Arabidopsis thaliana: one gene and its partner. The protein of the gene in region 1 interacts with the protein of each later gene in a pairwise test. Each region holds a gene or a part of one and is shown on either strand. Other genes may lie near its edges.

Region 1 (5,036 bases):
TTGGGGATAAAAAGTTAAAAAGAAAGCATCAAATTCTTTCTTTTCTTGGCTTTTCTGTGAAAGTTTGGTGAGGAATAACACCAAAGAGTGGTTTAGGACGAATCCATATTCTATCCTCTCTATTAAATATTCCATTTTTTCAACTTTCTCACGATATGTTGACCTGTAATTATTACGAATCACGAGTTTTAGCAATTTCGTGATTCAATTCTAACTTCCAAGCAATCCAACCAACCAAATACATGTGATTTTTATCATTACTTACATGCTTCTTGCCTTGTCTAGAACATTTTTTAGAAATATATTACAAAACTACTCCGTTATGTTTTCTAACAAAACTTATAATTCATCAGTGATAGTCGAAATTTATTTATAAGCTTTGATGAGTATTTATTTATATATAAATAAACTTAAAAGTACTGTTTTTTTCTAACACGACAATAGGAATCACATCGTCACGTTACATTACATAGAGAAAAAATCACATCAATGGAAAACTCGTGACTCTGTAATAAACTCTTTTTCCAGAGAGAGTGGAATTAGATTGATTTGCTTTGTGGTTTATCAGTGATGTGAGGAACACGACATGACAGCCTTTCTATGTATTTTTAATAATCTACTTATTTATACACAGAAACAGACGAAAAGCTACACACTGTTACTTGTTGACCAAGGCTTTCACAGCTGAATAAAGCCACCAACATTGATTTTATTGATTGATTTCTCCAGAAACATCAAACGCAAAAACTATTCACACAGATTTCTACTTACATCTCACATACGAAAACCAATAACCATTCAGATCCTAAAGATATGAATAATTTACAAAAATTCTTACAGCCAAATAAAGTAAAAAAAAGAAACAAGATTTTAGGTAATTTACATTGCAGATTTCAAGGCTTTTCTCAGGCTGTATGAGTGAGATTCATAGCTTTTCTCAGTCTGTCCAATATCCCGTTTGCTTTCCTCTGCGCCCTTGAAGTTCCTTCACGCGAAAGCTTTGTTATCGTTCCATGAGCATTCTCCTCTTCTTTGATCTCCTTCCACTTTGTCCTGTCGCTGAAACATATAGTATGCAGTATCACTATCGCATTCTCTTTGTTTCGCTTGCACTCGCTCTCTCGAGTTATCTTCAGCAACCATGAAACCCCACCGAGCTCACCCAATTCCTCCACAGCCTTCCAGTGAGTAACAAGCATTGCCAATATAGCTAAAAGCTCATCAACGTACAACCCATTCGAGATTTTCTTACCTAAAACCCTAACAGCTCCGTCTCTCACAGCTCTACTCCTGTTCTCATGGGCTATACAAAGAGTGAAGATCGCTGCAGCTACGTCTTTGATAGCTAATGGATTCCCTTCTTCTAGGAGATCGATAAGCGGTTTCAGGATTCCGGACTTCCCTATAAGTACTTTGTTTGAATCGAGAGCTGACAGAGTGAAGATCGCTGCAGCTGCATTGCTTCTCGTGGCGACTGTTCCACGCCTCAATGCATCGATAAGGAGAGGAATCACATTAGGATTTTCGCAGACGAGCTTCTTGTTGCTGTCATCATGTATTGATATGTTCAACAATGTTGTAACCACATCTTCTTGAAGCTTCTCATCTGGGTTTGACCCGTGTAACAAGGGATTCACCAACCTGGTGATCTCATCCGGAGATTCGCCAAAAAGAGCTCGGAACTCAGTGCCTTTCCTGGTCAGAAGTCTTAGCTCCTTGGCAGCTGATTTTTGATCTTGAAGGTTCGAAGAAGAGACTTTACAGAGCAAGGAATTGAAAATCTCACGATCTGATCTTGTCACAGTTTCATCTTCATTTACAAGGTTGGGATGATATTGGCTCTTCGTCTCAAGCCCGTTCTTCTTGCACCATTTCGAGATCATTTCACGGATTAAGAGATTAGGTGTTAAAGCCGTGTGAGGCAGAACTTGCTGAGTCTTGGGACATGTTCTGTTCCCTGAGCTCAACCATTTCTGGATAAATAACTTGTCGTATGTCTGCAAAATCACACACAAATATATAAATTTTTAGTTATATGCTTTCCAGATTTATTAAACAAGCTAAGGAACACATAATTATCCTCTAAAAATCACTTTTTTCATTTACATGATAAAATCTCCAGATTTCATCGTTTCGAAAATCATTACCGAAACTACCGACAAAACAAGAACTTTATGAAACCTGAGTCGGATTCTCTCAGTCGGGTCGAGAAAACAGATGAAAAAGTTTCAAGCCAATCAAAATTCCCCCAAAAATCCAAAATTTTCAGTCACCTAACACAGAAACAGCAAAATTCAAAACCCTAGAAGAAGAAGAATTGAATCGAAATGCGACGTTCACAAACCTGACCAGAAGCCAAAACGACGGGATCCCTCATAAGCTCATTAGAGAGAGGACAACGAAACTCCTCAGGACAAGACACAGTCTCGAGCATCTCTAACGAGGAAGATTTCGCCATCTTCCTCATCGTCGCTTCTCTCAACGCAGACAAAGCGTCCTGTAACTGATCAATCGTCTGAACACCCAAATCATCTTCGTCATCGATCTTAATCAGCAACTTCTTCATCTCACGCTTCAGTTCCTTGGCTTTAGCAATCGCCGTCGGATCCGAATCGAAAACACCGGTCTTCGCCATCGCCGTCGGTTCCACCCGCCGGTATTCACCAAACCCTTCTTCTCTCAGATGATACGTATGTCCAAATTTTTGAATTGATTTTCTCACATTAATTAATTTTATTTATTTATTTTCTGTGTGTTTGTGAAAGAGAGAGTAATAAATATGAGGAAGAGAGAAGAAGAGGCACAAGTGTTGTTGTTGTACTCTAGTGCTTCACTATAATAGAATTGTGGCCTGCACCGAATTTGCCACGTCATTATTTAGGAGTATTTACTAATTAATTCGACCAAAATTAAGAATTTAATAATGCAGCACGTATGACCTACCTCGCGACTAAGGTGTCAAAATACAGCCGACACGATTTGTCTCGTAGACTCATACACGTTTACTTATTTTTTTGGGTATAAATCCATACACGTTATTGGTAATTTAGCTAGTTATAACTTAATAGTAATTGATCGGCCTAATGGTTTTCATCTTTCCCTTGTGTTTGGTTTTGGGAGTTCGAAACCTCAATACATTGTTTTGTAACTAAGAGATTTTAAACGACGAAAGAGCTATTTGGAGAGTTTGTCAAGCCAAAACAAATATTCCCAAAAGTTTGTGAAAAAAACAGAAAATGTTTCAAAGGTTTACGAATTACGATGATCAAACTCAAATCTTTAAGACACCGAACCCATAACTATTATTTTATCCACTAAATTACTATTATTGGTTTATTGCGAGTATTCGAATTTGGTTCCTTACTTATGATGATTTTATTATTCAGTTATTAGACCATAACAGCTTTATATAATCGATCATTGTTTGATTCGTGTTTTTTTTTTGTCAATTGATCACTCCATTACCATCATTGTTTGAATTGTTGACCCAAAGAAACAGAGTAAGGAAATTTATAAAAGTAATCTCAATAACTCAAACGTCGTAGGAGGTTGTAATCAAAAAACAAAATCATCTCTAACGAAAAATGTAACATTAGTGTGGTAAACCAAAAAAAATTCCAAAGACGGTAACGGCGGCGAAAATTAGAAGATGTGCGAGAGGAGTGAGTGTAATGAAAGTGGGACCCGCACAGTTATTCCAACATGGGAACAGCTGTCTTTCCGCGTGGATTCTGTTGTACTCCTCTTCACTCTCTCTCTCTATTTCTTCTTTGACGTTTTTACCCCTGCCGTTTTTCACTCTTTCTTTTTCTTCTTTTTATTTTTGTTCTAAACGTTTTAAAAACAAAATTGTATTAAAAAAAAAAAAGCAACCAAGTGTTATTATAGCTTTCGACGCGTGATTGGATGAATTAAGAGAGTTGACCAAATCTATAACATTCAAAAAAACCAAAAAAATGTAACCGGAAGATTTTGTTTTATAATTAACTTCTTTATCAAGATTTGGTTTTCACCTTTTAGTAACATTCTGTAGACAATAATATTAAACAAGATGACACATCACTCCATGTCTGAAACAAATTTAAAAGGTGAAAACGACTTCTTCCACCAAAACATGAAATTTTGAAAATATGTTTTAATTCCAACAAATGTTTTAACTAAACCAAGTTATATATATTGGCCACGGAATTTGTCTTGGCACTTTGTCTACATTGTTAATTGTTAGAACTTCAAACTAAAATTATTAGTACATTTATTGAATTTGTTTAAATTTGTATGGATTTTTTTTATAAAAAAAAATACTATTGTACTTCGGTTTATTTAACCACCATCCATAAGAGTGGGTGATCGATGTTCATATACAACGATACAAAGTGTTGAGGTTAGAATAGTGTCAACTCAATTCTCAAATTTGAAGTTGTTAGTAGACCAACTATTATTGAGTGGCATTTTGAAATAGACACGTGTATGAATAATATCTATTATTTCTGAGAAGTGGGCACCACTCATCTGCAAACACAGAAGAGAATCTCACAAGTGCCAAGCTGGACTGCTGATAAAAAATCAGTTTACGTAGGACCACCCTCTAACCCACGTGTCCCTTTCTAATGCCCTCGTTATCTTCGAACTGTCGTTTTTTTTCTCTGCTTGCTAGACATCTCTGCTTTCTCAAATTATTATCTTTGTTTCTGTTTTTTTTTCCTTTAAGTTTTGATTGTGTGATAATAACACTCTTATCTTGAACATGTCATTTCCAAAAGTTTGAAAAAAACAAACTGAATCTTCTGAAAGAAAATATTTTTTTTTTTGGTACAAGGTTAAATTCAAGAGAAAATTGATGAATCTTTGTTATTTTCTTCACAATGCAGTGAGTTTGGTAATCTACAGATGAAATTACACAGAGAAAATTCATGAAATTATGAGTTGTTGGCATGTAAGGTGTGGTGTACGTTAACATTAAAAAGAAATGTCAAATTGTCAAAATATATTAACATAAAACATATATGTGGACACTAAACTGGACATATTATATATTT
Region 2 (6,242 bases), on another chromosome or scaffold:
GAAATGTGTGAACGTCATTTACACGATTTCTCTCTATTGTTGATAATATTTCATTTTCAGCTACATTTTCTTGGTCTTCTTGTTCGCTTTTGAAATATCTATAGACTATGTCACTATAGAATTGAGTCAATGACCTTAAAAGTCGTTAAATTGATAATTATGGTTTTGTAATTTCCTAGTAACTGACTTTTCTTCGTTTACTCCAAAAAAATAATATCCTCAACCATTTGTGTGTGTGTGTACGAGAATAGACAAAATTTCAATGTTGCTGGCGACATACTAAATGTTATATGCAAGAGAATGCTTCACCGATGAATTCATAAAAGTTTAAGGTATATATTCGATTTGTTTCATAAAGTCCTCTGTTGTAATAGCCATAAAGTCCTATGTTCGCTTCCAGTATTGGTCTATTATCAGTAGTATGTACAAAAAGTGAATATTAATCATTACTGAATTCCCACTTAATTGAGTTTCGGTCTCAAACTTCAAATCTTGGAGTGACAACTCCAAATCTTGCATTTTTTTGTCTTTGTCTAAATGTTTTTTTTTTATAATTCTCGCTCTAAATCAAAATCATGTGAAACATGTGGTGAATCTTTTGTCTAAATTAAATTAGATAGAGCAAGATATCGAATCATATATGTAGTAATAAAATCTATTTAGACTTACCTATAAAATGATATGCATGTAAACAGATTGGGCCGTAAGTTACAAATTACCGAGCGTCAATGACCGAGAGAGTGATTTGGTTCACTGTACATTCATCGTCGCGCTGTGTACTTGAAGAAGAATCAGCCTCAAGAGGACTTCTACCAATGCAAAATCCAGGACGTTTAGGCTGAGGAATAGCGGTAGTTTCGCTTCCAAGCATCACCATTACCGAGGACATCACTGGTCTGTCTTCGGCTCGTTCTTGAACACACAAGAGACCAATTTGTATACATCTTAAGATTTCATGTGTCGGGAACTTTGATGACAAAGAATCGATGTTGATCGGATCTACAATCTCTAGCTCGTTTCCTTCCTTCCAATGCCTCCACACCTGTGCATAAAGGATGTAATATTTCTTTAGTGTTATAATCAGATTATGAATGCAAAACAATATCGAATTGAAGAGGTTTTTAGCTTACAAAACCGAGGAGATTAAGATCACGGTTTGAGTTGTAGAATCCTTTGTTTCTTTTTCCACTTATAATCTCTAGAAGCAAGACCCCAAAGCTGAAAACATCCGACTTCATCGAGAATATCCCGTCCATTGCATATTCTGGAGACATGTAGCCGCTGCATAACAAAATATAAACTCATATGTTATGAGGTTTTTAAGAAAATATTTGGACTTGAGATAAAAGCTCTTTTTTTGTTTTGTTGAAGAATGATTGCTTACTAAGTTCCGACCACCCTCCTTGTATTAGCCTCTGTCTCCTCCCGTCCAAAGATCCTCGCCATACCGAAATCCGAGATCTTTGGAGTCATATTTTTATCAAGCAATACGTTACTTGCTTTCAAGTCTCTATGGATAATCCTACACCGTGAATCTTGGTGAAGATATAGAAGTCCTCTAGCAATACCATTGATAATATCAAATCTCTTTTGCCAATTTAAGTTAGAGCTTCGTGTTTGGTCTACACATCCAACACAACCAACAACAAGTTAACGTTTTCACAAAAATGTTCAATTATTAGAACAGAAGCTGTTTGAGTCACTAACCAAAGAGATGCGAGTCAAGGCTTAAATTCTCCAAGTACTCATAGATCAACATCTTCTCACCCTTATCGACGCAACAACCTAGAAGCCGGACAAGGTTTATGTGCTGAAGCTTTGCAATTAATCTAACCTCGTTCATGAACTCATCGGTCCCTTGTGAGGACATTTTCGATAGTCTCTTTACCGCAATTTCTTTTCCGTCAAGTAATCTTCCCTATTACCACACATGTGATTATACAATGAAACCATGTGCTGTGGTAGATTTTCAATATGTTTTGAATCACTTTTACCTTGTAAACAATTCCGAATCCACCTTGTCCAAGCTTGTTGTCGTTAGAAAAATTGTTTGTTGCCGTGGCAAGAGCTTCCAACTCCAACAATGGAAGCTCTAGGTACTCACTTTTTTTTTCTTTGGATGTGTAACCCCTCCTAGATACTACCACATCGTTGATTAGCGAGTCTTGGCTTCTCACTTGATCAACTGTTTCATTCAGGCGTTAAAAAAAAAAAAAACAATCAAGACATTTGATTATCAAAATTTATTGACAAAAATAAAGGAAATGAAAGCTAATGATTTATTTTACCATTAGGTGTTTGAATTGTTATTGATCGCTTCTGCTTCCTTTTCCAAAAATGGAAGATGACAAAACTTAAAAGAAGCAAAATGCTCACTCCAATACTCGAACCTATAATTTTTTCATTTTTGATTCTCTTGTCCTCTGCAATAAAAACGAGGCATATATTTACTTCTATACGAAAAATATCCTTTGTTGTACGTTTGATTAAAAAAAATTAATACGAAAAATAAACAAAATAATTAATTTAACTTAAACAAAAATTCTTTTTGGTATAATGGTATTGGATCTAGCTAAACTCTTATTAATCTTTTGATCTCTAATTAAAAACAGATGACAAAAAAAAAAAACTAAACAAATTGACCAAACATCAAGAATGTACTTTGTTGACCAAAGCCTCTATAGATTAGGGAGTTTGAACTTTGCTTCGAGAGGGACAATATTACATGACTTGGTCCGCAGATTGGGAAGATATATTGACTTTGGGTCATAACTTTTTAATCAAAACAAAAAGTAAGAACCACTTTAGTAAATGCAAATAAGAAAGAAACTAACCGAGTTCAGCAGCGGCTAGTCTAACGTAAAGATCCTGACCTCCCTTAGCATAATTTCGCATATCCAAAATCTCTCTGGTCCAAATCACACAACCAGACCCGCCATTGCGAATATCCGCATTAGCGAACGCAGTGCAATTACAATCTTCTAGACACCTTTCTTTACATACTTTCAACCCAATTTCTCTGTCCACAATTGTCGCCGTGGTATCTGGCAATTTCATCCTCTTCAACCGGGTAAAACCATCTCTACCGTCACAGCTCAGCCTCGTCTTCCTCATGCAACCAGCGGAGCCATCTCTCAAGTCCCACGCTTGCTCATTCACTGGCTTAAACCCTTTGATACAATAACAATTTGGTAAACTGTTCGAGTCGCAATAACCGAAATTCCCGCACACTTTGTAGTTATCGCATAGGTCCTTCGGTGAGTACCATAGTTGCTTCCAACTCTGTGTTGTCTCAAACCAAGTCAATCGTTGTAATAAACCCGCAGAGTTTAAGTATAATCTCGAGTATAAGTTTGTTTTGTTGATTCGGTATGAGTAAGTCACTTCCTCCTTACTTGCTGTGAAATTGTAAACCATGTAATCAACTTGAATTGTCCCTGGTACGCTGCTAAAACGCATTCCATTCCATGGACCGCTGCGGTATAGTATCGACTCCTTGCTGCATATGTAAAACTCAGGGAACTCGCTGGTTTCGAGTTTTGTCGAAAACTCACCGCTTGATGGATCATCTGTTGTTTTCCAGGATCTCAAGATCCTGTTGAATCCGGTTTTCTGATCCCATCCCAATTTCATCTCCGCAAGTAAAGTATCTGTCGGAAAATCGAAACTCTGCCATAGAAGTCTGTTATTGGAGTCTCTGAGCAAGAAATTACCGTTATCAAGAAGCTCTGCAGCCACTGGTGATCTCACATCTCCTCCGGTTATATTCGTCGACCAAACAGGCCTATCGGACTGATCGAAAATGACGAGGTTATTGCCGGATATTTTGAGAGTTCCGTTGGAGCTAGAGAGAGGATTGTCTCTGTTTGCAACCCATACGTAGGTTCTTATAGGGATTATCTTGTACCATATGCCGAGATACCAACGCGAACTTGATGCGGGATTGAAGAAACCGAGCTCGAAGATTTGACTAGGAGATATAATGGTTTTGTTGCTTGAGATAGTGAGAGATTCTGTGGCTGAAAGAGTGTTTGGAGAAACAGAGAAAGCAAGAAACAGAATTAAAATGAGGAAAATGAAGAAAGAATGGTGGTAGTTTGGTACACTTCTCATCTCTCTCTAGGACAGTTTCTCGTGTTCTGTTTTCTTTCTTCTTGAGGGAATTTTATGAGAATTTGAGAATTTTTATCTTCGGAGATTCATATTATTGTTGATGTGTGCCGTTATTTACACGATTACTCTGTATATTACATTGTTGATGATATTTCATTTTCGGCTGTCTTTTCTTGGTTTTCTTGGTTTTCTTGGTCTTCTTGTTCGCATTTGAAATATCTATAGACTCTGTCACTATAGAGTTGACCTAGCAAATGACAAGAAAATAACTCGTTAGATAGACATTTACTTATCAGTGTTTTTGTAATTTTCTTAGTAACTGACCTTTCTTCGTTTACGCAAAAAAGAAACAAATCTCGTCAACACTCCTTATTTGTGTGTGTGTGTGGCCAGGCCTATGCGTGTCTCAGAGAGATATAAAACTAATTTGTGTTTTTCTCGTTATAAATAATCTTTTTTTTTTGGTTTTCTTTCCTTTCCTACGAATATCAATTCATGAAAGAAATTAACTTACACCACCAAGCTTCAACTATTTCATTCGCTAGACAAGTAAATCATTAACCTTAGACTACAAAATGACATTTGTTTGGCAGAGCTTCGTATTCGTAGTGCTGTGTGTACTGGCCATCGCATCATGACCGGTTCAATTCTATCATGGGTTCTAGAACAAAATTGTTTTTTGGCTGCCCTTATAAATTTCTTTTAAAGATTTTACATTATTTAAAAAAAATTGTATGACAGTTCTAATAAAATTTAGTTATTAAAAACAAAAGCAATACACAAAATATTTATGGGCCCTTCTGTTTTATTATTTATAAAATTTAGTTATAAAATTTATTATTTATTACAAATAATGAGACTTGTTACATAAACGATTTTACAACGTACAATTCCTTTAAAGTCACCAAAATATTGTCAATAAATATTAGGTGCAATCATAGGTTGTTGTTATTCTTGATTTGTTTTGTATGATTCTTACTTGTTCAGATCGTATAAACTCATCAATACCACTTGAAGGAGTTATCAATATTTTATTTCCATGCTTTATATTTTTAGAACTTTATCTTTTTATTTTTGCATAGAATTGAGCCATCTCATAACATTTGCTCTTAATTGATGCACTCTCTCTTTAAATGAATCAAGAAATTGTTAACTGCTATATTACCTTCAACATTTTTTTCTAATTCATATATAATTTTGTATTATTGTGTAAAATTTTGTCTTTATAATATTATTTGACATAGATTTTATTTTATGAAAATTTTGTCAATACAAATAATTATTATTAATGTTGAAGACTATGCAAATGCAAAAAAAAATAGAAATAGATTTTAGAATATACTAAATTCTATTGCTTTCTTCTTCTCTAGCTTCTCTCTAAAACATCCACGAACACATCCTCTTTTTTTAAATTAACATTATTGTCATAGCCTTATAGGACTATCTAGTCATGTTTAGCTTATGGCGTAGATAGGCTAGATTGCGAAAGCGTGTAAACCGGTTAAATACGAAACGTAATTACTTTACATAGTAGACCCGTAAGTAAACAAATAACTCAAGAAAGCCCCAAAATTTTACCATTTTAGTTAATTACTTCTTCTCCTCCTTTCCCTCCAAATCCTTACTCATCCATGTCCTTCTAAAAGAAACCTCTGTTCCTGTCTCCCAAAACCAAACCCTTCTTCGTCTCGAAGTAATCAAACTCTGACAACAACAACTCGAATTCAAAGTAAGCGGCTAAAATTTCATTGCATCATCTTCAAATTTCGTTGCCACACGCTCTAATGTTCAAGCCAACGTTAGAATTTAGGGTTTTTCATTGCGAATCTCAAAATCCTAAGACGTTGTTTACCAAAAAGAACAAAGAAGAAAAAACCTTACTTTACCTTTCAATGATCAATGGTTCTCGTAAAAATAGTTCCTTTTGCTTCTCTGTTATAGCCAAAAGTGTAAAGTTCGTACCTTTGAGGGTTCACTTGTTTAATGGGTTTTGTTGCGTTAATCTTTCAGAGTACGAAATCGAGTTTGGTAACTTTAATATAAATGCCGAGAATGCGTATTGAAGGAAGAGATTTAGTCGATCTGGTGCTCTCATGGTCTCTTGACGAAGTTCTCAATGTTGATCTTTA

What was found.
Region 2: the proteins of PUB9 (region 1) and RK1 interact in a two-hybrid assay, tested with the Arabidopsis thaliana proteins (one study listed by BioGRID).

What each region holds. Positions count from the first base shown.
Region 1 is NC_003074.8:2,352,483-2,357,518, reverse strand, and holds PUB9 (plant U-box 9), read right to left. Parts: upstream 2,880-5,036; 5' UTR 2,636-2,879; coding exon 2,345-2,635; exon of another isoform or gene 1,998-2,344; coding exon 906-1,997; 3' UTR 654-905; downstream 1-653. UniProt on the Arabidopsis thaliana protein: Functions as an E3 ubiquitin ligase. May be involved in the abscisic acid-mediated signaling pathway, at least during germination.
Region 2 is NC_003070.9:24,466,803-24,473,044, reverse strand, and holds RK1 (receptor kinase 1), read right to left. Parts: upstream 4,264-6,242; 5' UTR 4,114-4,263; coding exon 2,835-4,113; intron 2,424-2,834; coding exon 2,289-2,423; intron 2,186-2,288; coding exon 1,995-2,185; intron 1,919-1,994; coding exon 1,708-1,918; coding exon of another isoform or gene 1,703-1,707; exon of another isoform or gene 1,623-1,702; coding exon 1,385-1,622; intron 1,282-1,384; coding exon 1,131-1,281; intron 1,043-1,130; coding exon 716-1,042; 3' UTR 573-715; downstream 1-572. Other genes in the region: AT1G65780 (P-loop containing nucleoside triphosphate hydrolases superfamily protein), read left to right, coding at 6,157-6,242. UniProt on the Arabidopsis thaliana protein: Involved in the regulation of cellular expansion and differentiation. Mediates subcellular relocalization of PUB9 from nucleus to plasma membrane in a protein-phosphorylation-dependent manner.